Nothobranchius furzeri: one gene and its partner. The protein of the gene in region 1 interacts with the protein of each later gene in a biochemical or structural test. Links are inferred from orthologs where the notes say so. Each region holds a gene or a part of one and is shown on either strand. Other genes may lie near its edges.

Region 1 (5,052 bases):
GCGCCGCTCCAGTCACCGCGTCTCGTTATTGGTGCTATTCAAACCAATGTTGTAAAATTACTTCTGCCCAGCCCAGATGTGCTCACATGTGCACCCGTGAGCCGTGGTTCCGCTGGAACGCGTCTGACCTCTGACAGACGCACTCTGAACTTCAGACCTTCAGCGTGCTGTTAACAGCCTGACACATTTAGAATGCTGTCCCACAGTCAGTGTGCTAATATAATAATATAATAATGCTAAAATGCTCAGATGGGAATCATTTCTTGATTTATTCTGTTACATCTACAATGTTCTGTGTGTGTGTGAGGTTTACAACTTCAGAACACCTGCATGAGACAGGTGTTAATTACAATCTGCCAGAATGACTCACCACCTTCAGATTCCTCCAACACCGTTAAAAATGATCAAATACTGAACATATCCTGCTGTTGACAGCGTGCGCAAGCCAGAGCGCTGAAACTCGGCGCATTATTATGAAGCTAGGGCACATGCGGAGGACACACACACACACACAAGCAAAATATACTTGTTTTCCAATTACATTTATTGGGCCCACCCACAAAGGAGTTTCTGGCTACGCTAATGGTGACATATGACAGACTTCTCTGAGCTCCGCAGCCATTACACTTTTCACCTCGCGCACCCCCTAGCGGCAGCTCGCGCACCACACTTAGGGAGTCCCTGCTCTAAGGTAGAAAAGAGAGAAAAAAAACTCCAGATGCATTTTTCTGATTTTGTTCCCTTACAAGGATATTTATGCCCTGTAATTATATCGGCATTTAGAGGGGCAAAAGGGTTTCCGTTAAACAAACACTGTCTCTGAGGAGAGATCCATCCTGCAACAGTTAGTATGTTCAAATGTGTCTAGGAGGGATTTTTAGGTCCAGTGTTAGTCTGAACAATCCACCCACAAGCTGACAGCTCTGAAAACAAGTTATCAAACCTGCCAATAAAAGGCACGTCCTGAATGACACCCTGCAGCAGGATCTCTGATGATGCAGCATGATAAAGACTCGCTGCCTGAGTAGCTAGACTCCACCAGGACTGGTGTCTGATCCTGTCAGCAATCTTCATGAACGGAAGCTCACATCGCAGTCGAGTGGTTTGGGTCTCATCTCTGCTTTAGGTGACAGCAGATGATGTGGTTCTGTTAGCATCTTCAGGCTATGATCTTTAGCGTGCACTAGCATGCTTCACAGCTGGGGGCCGAGGGCTGGGATGAGAATCAGCTCCTCTAAGACCGATGTCATTGTTCTCAACCGTATAAAGGTGAAACACTCCCTCCAGGTTGGAGCAGAATAATTAAAGTATCTTGTTAACTAAGAGATGGATCCAAGTAAAACAGAATCTATTAACATCAGCTGGTAAAAACGTTTATAAATGGAGCAGCAAACAGTGTTTTCATTCAGTTAGATGCAATGGTTGCAAATGCAGCTTCATGAAAAGTTAAACACTTAGCATGGAAGCAGATAGCAGCTATTTTTAGGTCTGATGGGATTTCCTTCAGATCAAGAGTCGACTGTTCAGTTATCTGAAAAAGTGCTGTGCTCATTTTCTAATGATGACAACAACTTATTATCTAAAGAACGTAAGCTTTGTTTTCTCCAGATAAGATGAATACGATGAAAATGGGAGAAATTCCTGTGTTACGCCCGTTTTCTTCATTTAGTAGCATTGCTGTGACTCTTGGATGATTAAAACTTATTGATGTGCTGTTTACTTTTGAATCAGTTGCAAGCAAGACTGACCTGATTTCTGATGAAGTAGCCCTCTCTGGTTGTGAGTTAGAAATAACTGTCTTAACACATTGGAGCAAGCTGTTCCAGGTCAAAATGTCTACATATTTCAGCCTGTTATAGCAACAAAACAAGCTTTATCCCCAGTGAAAGCATTAAATAACAAAATAAACCATTATTAAAAGACCTGCAAATGAAACCATATTTGTAGGCCTGTCATTGTGCGGCTTCCAAACGTCCGAAGTTTTGTTTTGTTTGGCTCACACACAACGGTAAAATGTAGACTTCTGTTATTTACTCACTAAGTAAAAAGATCTGTTGGATTTGAAAGATCTCATGTCAGAATAACACATGGATGCTGAGGGTGCTGTTCTGCAGCATCTCTTACTTATGAAGCATGTTGGAAGTAAAACTAATATTATGTAAATATTAAATAAAGTCTCAAATGTTGGGATGAACTCATGTGTTCCTACAATACAACTGTACTTAACAGAACCTCTTCCTAAAATAAATTTAGGTTTTCTTTTTATTTCCCATCAAATGATTTGAAAAATTTGTTGTACATCCAGTATAAAATCCACACACATCCATTTAAGTTACAAGTAATAGTTAACCCAAACAGGGGAAATGCCCCCAAATTGTGAATATTTAAAAAAAAAACTGTTTTGTACATTTTAGTCCTGAAAAGAAAGTTCTACCTCACTGGTGAACATGGCACAAAAGTAGTCGCTGCAAGCAGCCAAGACGATCCGGTGAGCAGGAAAATCCGCGTTGTCCACCCTCAGAGTGATGTCGCAGAGTGTGTTACTCTTGCGGAGTGAATTCATTGCATTGAGGATGGATTTAGCATGGGAATTTGTCATGATGTCTTTGGGAGCCATGCTGTTTGGAGGATCCGTCATAGATCTCAAACTCCCACAGGAACCTAAAATAAATACATCAAGACAAATAAACGGAATTCTTGCAGACCACAATGCCATCTGGGAACAGGAACAGAGACAGGAAGCACCGGATTATTGGATTAATAATAATAATAAAAACTTTAGCATTGGCTCATTAGTTAAAGATTATTCAGGAACCATCATGACTACTGAAAAAACATTTTTGATGAATCTGTAGAAATCATTAGATGTGTGTGTATTGGTTTGTTGTTTTGTTTTGGAAGAAAAAAACAAGGAAAGACATCAAATAATGTCACATCTGTCAGTGGAAGAGTCCACAAACAGGTATTATCCATCCTTAGGTATTTAAAAGCTGATATGTTGATTAAAACCAGACAAAAAAAAAAAGAATAAAACAAACGTATTTGTCAAACAAAAACCCATGTTTGAAACTACAAGTACATTTAGTTAGAACCAGGATTTTTATTTGATCGTGGTGATGAAACTTACCGTGAAAAGATCCTAACACTTTTTCCACCACTGGGAGGCAATAACTATAGCTACACATGAGCTAAAAGCAGCACTGAACAACAGCTGACGGCTAACGCCAACGCCACACAACTTCAGAAAACAGCAGCTACAAAAGCGGCCTGTAGGCCAGAGGGAGACAAAACAAGAAGCGACACACACACAAGAACTTGGCAAGAATTTGCATTATACCTGCAGGGCAGAGTCAAAACGTCTAGCTAAGTTGTTTTGCTAACTAACTGTAGCAGCACCAAAGTCTCAGTTCAAACCGCCCTAATCCATCATGACCTCCGTCAGGTCACACCAACACACGGCCTCCGCGGGGACGGGTCTGTTCAAAATATCAAAATTATCTCATATTATGTCCCAGAACGATCTTTGAACACCAACAATTTAACGTTGACTAAACTGCAGTGGGTCACAGTAGCGCCACCAACAACATAGTTGGCAAGCAGATGTATCATATAATAGTTGGACACGAACTTTCAAACAAAAATCCAGAATTCACTTGTTCGTAGTAAAATGAATAGCCTTTAGTCTGTGGTTGTTGTTGCTGTTGTAGTATATGTTGTTACATGACTATATGTTGTTACATGACGTTGTTACCTGATGTTCAGACATGATGTTGTTACTTGATTTTGTTACATGATGTTACTTGATGTTGGTACCTGATGTTATTGCATGATGATAGTACATAATGTTGTTACCTGATGTTGTTACAAGATGTTGTATAATGTTGTTACTTAATGTCACCTGATGTTACCTGATGCTGGTACCTGATGATGTTACATGATGTTACGTGATGTTATTTGATGTTGTTACCTGATGATGTTACATTATGTTGTTACCTGATGTTGTTACTTGATGTTGTTACATGATGATGTTACATTATGTTGTTACCTGATGTTGTTACTTGATATTGTTACATGATGATGTTACCTGATGTTGTTACCAGATGTTGTTACATGATGATGTTACATTATGTTGTTACCAGATGTTGTTACATGATGTTATTATTTGATGTTGTTACTTAATGTTGTTACCTGATGTTGTTACCCGATGTTGTTACCGGATGTTGTTATATGGTGTAGTTACTTGATGTTGTTACTTGATGTTATTACCTGATGTTGTTACTCGATGTTGTTACCTGATGCAAAAACAAGGTAAAATAACACTTGCTGTGTTAAAAAGAACAGTAATGCAGTAGAAATGCAGAACAATTTAATAAAACAATGTCAAATGTTATGACATGTTACTCATTTCTATGCACAGTGTAGAAGTAAAATGCTATTTGTGACCAAAGTGCCATTTAAAAAGATGAACTCAAATGTCAACTCACTTGTGCAGTGGAAATATGAACTAGACAAAGACATGGACAGATATGTTTGCCACATCTGAAGGGGATAACCTAATATAAATTAATGGAAAGCTGACATAATTTGCTTCAAAAGTTTGTTTTCCCTGACAAAGTCTCAGTTATGGAAAACTTGAGACACAATTTTAATATTGTGACAGTTTTGGTTATCATTGGTTTTGATTTTATAATTCAGATTGTCATTTTGACAGAAATATTTACACTGACGTTCAAATTACTTTTTAAATGTAATTATATTAAATGTTAAAACAGCTTGCCAAATTCACCGGCAGCCGGGGCGATGACGTACACAGTGCGTGAGTGTGCGTGCGCGCTCCCCAAAGAGCGAGACGCGTTTTTTTCCCAGAAATATGATGCCTCCCGCGCGTCCTCGCCTGTTGGTCGCTGCTGTTTCAGAAATGGTGAGATGACGATTCTGTGTCAACAGACTTACTTTCCAGACTTGAAGAAGTGCTGTGAATCCTACACAGATATCTCACAGCAGCAAATTAAAACAAAACAAAACACATTGTGCTCTTTTTAGCCACCCAAG
Region 2 (4,785 bases), on another chromosome or scaffold:
AATGATGAGACTTTCATGTGATGGCGTGACCCAGATTCATAGCTGGGATAAAACAGAGATGCATTTAACTTTTTTAACAAGTATTTTTCTTGTAAAGATTTTCATCACATATATATCTTATAATAATAATTTCAGTGGGTGAAAACTGTCAAAACAAAATACTTTGGATTCCAACAGAATTGTAAATCATGTTGCTTTTTGTAAATGGACACACATGATTAAAATGTAAAGCAATAATAGGATATCTATCTATCTATCTATCTATCTATCTATCTATCTATCTATCTATCTATCTATCTATCTATCTATCTATCTATCTATCTATCATCTATCTATCTATCTATCTATCTATCTATCTATCTATCTATCTATCTATCTATCTATACACGCACACACACACACACACACACACACACACACACACACACACACACACACACACACACACACACATATATATATATATATATATATATATATATATATATATATATATATATATATATATATGTGTGTGTGTGTGTGTGTGTGTGTGTGTGTGTGTGTGTATGTATGTATGTATAAATAGTAGGGCTGGGCAATAAATCAAAAATTTATTGTAATCAAAATTTCTGACTCGTGATAATTTTTCCCATGTCAATAAATTTGATAATAAAAAAATGAAAAGATGTGTGTAGGTTGGCAGCGTTCATGTCCATGAAGCTGTATCACTGTCACGTAAAAATGTTCCTCAATGTAATACATGTGGCAGCCCCATCTATTGGACAACTTTTGTTTCTGCGCATATCTGTAGTTATCGTCCAATTATCGTTATTGAGGTGAAATCCTCAATATATTGTGATATTAATTTTAGGCCATATTGCCCAGCCCTAATATATTGGTATGTCAGCTCAAATTTTTCCATTCCAACAGACCAAATCGGCACTCTGAAGTTGCAAATGCGGTATGCGGCCACAGAGGGCAGTAGGGGTCTGAGAATGACATGATTGTAAAGGGTCATTTTAGCACATACTGGCTCAAGTAAATGAAAAATTTGCATGGTGTACCTTTACGTTTACTTAGAAAACGGACGTGTTTACATCTTCTTTTACTTTCAGATTTATTTGCCAGTAATAACTGGGGTCAGAAAAAACTTTTATTGGTCCATAGACTTCCATTCTTATTTATTTATTTTTTTCTTTTGCAATAAGGAATCCAGATGGGCGTGACTTAGGCTCCATATCAATTGGCTGCTGAGTAATGGCCATCATAATTCAGTTATATTCATAAATTGAACATCACAGACTACTACTGCTACCACTTTTTGTCAGTTCATGTTAGCCTCACGTATGATGCACTTCGAGTCTTTTACATTCTCCAAAATACAAATATTTGTTAACAAATTTGAAAAATTTAATGCATTATTTTTAACCAATTGAAATAAAAATTGGACCATGACGTAACGCATGGTGAATGACAAGCCACGCCCCCGTGCGCGCGGAGGAGGCAGGCATTTTTAAGGTCGGGTGGTGAAGTGTGAGTGAAGCAGCTGAGAGAAACTACAGCCGCAGCAGAAAAAGGACAGTCGGTGTACTTGTTTGTAGTTTTATTCCAGGACGGAGCACACCTTTTTATCTTTAAAACATGGCGTATCACAGTCCGTACAGAGCTCACCCGCAAGGCAACCCTCCTGTGGACCAGAGTTTCCTGTGGAATATCTTCCAGAGGTGAGTGCGGGGAAGGCGGGTTTGTTTCGCCCCGCAGTGAAAACTGCTGTCGTGAGAAGCGCGAAGAGGAAGAGGAAGAGGAAGGCAGCGGGGCTGGGTGGTGTTGCAACAAATATTCCTGACAGCTCAGCCTTTGTCTCTGACAGCTGAGTCTTTGTCTCTTATTCTCGTGTCCTTTTAACTGCTTTAGGCTCGGAACACAGGTCCGCAGTGCTGTTTGTGACACGAGAGAGGAAATACCAGCGTTTCCTCCAGCGTCTCTCAACCCCTCACCTTCCTAGTCTTTTGTGTTGCAACTGTAAAAGTGGCGCAAAGGCTTTAGATTGTGTTCTTCTGAATCAGCTGATCGCTTTTGAGCCACGGAAGTTCTAAAATCTAAATACAAGGACCTCCACTAGTCCTTGAAGGCGTCACGTTTTCACAGAATTCACTTTACCCAGACTTCTGAACTTATTTATGCCTAACACCAGACAAAAATCTCATCATAAATGAAAGGATCTAAACTGAGAGTGTTTCACTAACAGGCTTCAGGTATGTGTCACGGGCTGTGACAGTCAGTGAGGGACATGTTGATTTGGCCCCTGCACATTAAGCCCAATATAGTTATGCAATACTGCAGAGGATCCATTTCTATCACCACCGAGATGCTGCAGGCGTTCAGATGCTTCAACCATTATTAACAAATTATTTATGTGAAGCAACAACCTCAGATGTACAGATGTGTGCCGGCTGTTGCCCTCTGTTTCATCCCCACACGCTTGTCATTTTGTTTCGCTGTCACAGGAACAGCCTTCCTCATCACCGTCTTCACACATAAAGTCATCTTCAGCGTAAATGTCAAACAAACACAAGCGATATGACAGTCCTGAGTGTAGGGAGAGTCTCTGACGCACACGCACACACACGCACACACACGCACACACACACACGCACACGCACACACACACACACAGCCTCATCTGTGTTTGTGTGTAAATCTGGCAGAGCTGTACTGGAATTCCCTTGGTCATGTGATCAGAGGCAGGTTTTTGACACACACACACACTTATCTATGACTCACAGTGGGATAGTTGTTAGAAATCTATTAAATTAAAGCTCTATAACCATATTTTTATCCTTTTTAAATTGAGTGTAATTGGACGACATAAAAGGGAAAGGCTCATTTTTAAAAGAATAATGGTTTTTATTCCTTCTAGTGTACCACTGGACTGCAGTCTATTGATTGGGATTGGTCCCATGAGGTAATGTGGGATGAATCATCTTTCCCTTTCACCTACTTTCCAAACAATGATGATGGTACAACAAAATGTTAAAATTGCCCAACAACACACACGTGTTGCTACAAGAAGCTAATCTGAGCTCAGCTCAGATCTACTTAAACTTAAGAAAAGTTGGAATAAGCCAGTCATCCTTCTGCAACGATGCTGCTTCTATTTTGGGAGTTTTTATGTGGAAAGCGGAGCGGGTGTTTCCCAGCCTCATATTCCATCCAGACTGTCTAATAGGAAAAAGCGAAACATGGGAAAATCTGACTCCGTCTCGGCTTATTATTTAAAAAAAAAAACAACAACTTTATCTCTGTTGTGATGCATTCTAGCTCTGTTTGAGGATGCAAATGCCAGATGGTGTCTCTTGAGCGTGCAAAAAGGAGTTCTAATGATGCTTTCACCATCCTTTTATTTATTTATTTTTTTTTTGCTTGTGCCTGAGGCAGAGTGTGTTCATGTAAAGAAGATGAGAGGTGGAAGAACAGGAAGTGTAGAGGATTGAGGTAAAGGATGTCCTGTTCACATGTGGAGTTTTACTTCTAGGACATGAATAAAATGTTGTATTCATTACATTTCACTTAGATTAGTTGGATTTTGAGTCCTTCTGTTGTAGATCTGCTGCTGCTGCATTTGGATTATTGTTCTGTTTTATGACCCAGTTTGGTCCAAACCTCAGCTGTCCTACAGATGGACTCATGCTAGGCTCTTTGGTCTACAGAGGGGTTCATGGTGGACTCAGCCTCAGCCTTTCACCACCGTGCTGGTATGAGCTGTCAGGTTTCCGCCAAACCCAGCTGTGCATTATGGGTAAACCTCTCTACTTTGGTCCGTAGGTCTCATAGTGTCAACATGTTTGGTGGTGTCTGCTGGTCATTTCCTACTGAGTTAAAACCATGAGCTAACCACAATTCCCGCCCAGCGACTCTACTGGTCCTTTTTGTGTACTTACGCCAGTTCAGGTACTCGTATGATCCCTGAAATGGTCAGAAAATGGTTCTTTAGGGCTGGCCAGGTGAAATGGACACTTATGCAGCGAAGGTCCAGTTAAATTAGCCAGAAGCCCTGAAGGTGGAATGAGCCCGATGCTTTTAGAGCAAAGAAATTTTCTACCTGTTGACCTTCTAAACATGGAGTGCTTGTTTCTTTTTTTGTCATTCTCACAGATTTGACCTTGAAAACACTGATTGCATCTATAGGGTCAGTTCAGACTGATGTCTCTCCTCTGTTGCATAGCGTTAACACACACTTGTATGCCCCAGACGAACAAACTGCTCTGACTCATGCTTTAACTGATCCTCAGTGTGTATTAATCAATACATTAGATCAACAGCACCTGGCTGATACGCTTATTGTTTAGGCTGCAGGAGTGTTTTTCTCACCCAGAAATTTCTTTTTGGCTTTATTTTTGTTAAAAAGATGACGACATGGTGACACATCATGTGACTTTTGCACATCTGAGGTCAGATTTGAATAATTTCAAAACCTGGATGGGATCATGTTGAAAGATCAAAAGTTAAAAAAAGGGCACTTTCCTCTACTATGACACACACACACACACACACACACACACACACACACACACACACACACACACACACACACACACACACACACACACACACACACACACACACACACACACACACACACCTTTGACTAAATCAGCTGTGTGTTTGGGAAAGGACGGGTGCTCAACCCAAACCACTCTTCTTAACAATGACAAAAGGTTCATTTACTGAGATTTTTCTGTTTTTTTTTTCTTCTCTTCATCCAGCAGACCAAGCTGGTTTGTGTTTGTTTTTCCTAATTTA

The links.
Region 2: the proteins of kelch-like protein 12 (region 1) and pdcd6 form a complex in vitro, tested with the Homo sapiens proteins (2 studies listed by BioGRID). The link is inferred for Nothobranchius furzeri from reciprocal best matches to the Homo sapiens genes KLHL12 and PDCD6.

What each region holds. Positions count from the first base shown.
Region 1 is NC_091755.1:52,045,190-52,050,241, forward strand, and holds the start of kelch-like protein 12, read right to left. Parts: upstream 3,414-5,052; 5' UTR 3,338-3,413; exon of another isoform or gene 3,268-3,337; 5' UTR 3,186-3,267; coding exon 3,128-3,185; intron 2,662-3,127; coding exon 2,435-2,661; intron 1-2,434. UniProt on the Homo sapiens protein: Substrate-specific adapter of a BCR (BTB-CUL3-RBX1) E3 ubiquitin ligase complex that acts as a negative regulator of Wnt signaling pathway and ER-Golgi transport.
Region 2 is NC_091747.1:42,166,895-42,171,679, forward strand, and holds the start of pdcd6 (programmed cell death protein 6), read left to right. Parts: upstream 1-1,442; 5' UTR 1,443-1,623; coding exon 1,624-1,706; intron 1,707-4,785. UniProt on the Homo sapiens protein: Calcium sensor that plays a key role in processes such as endoplasmic reticulum (ER)-Golgi vesicular transport, endosomal biogenesis or membrane repair.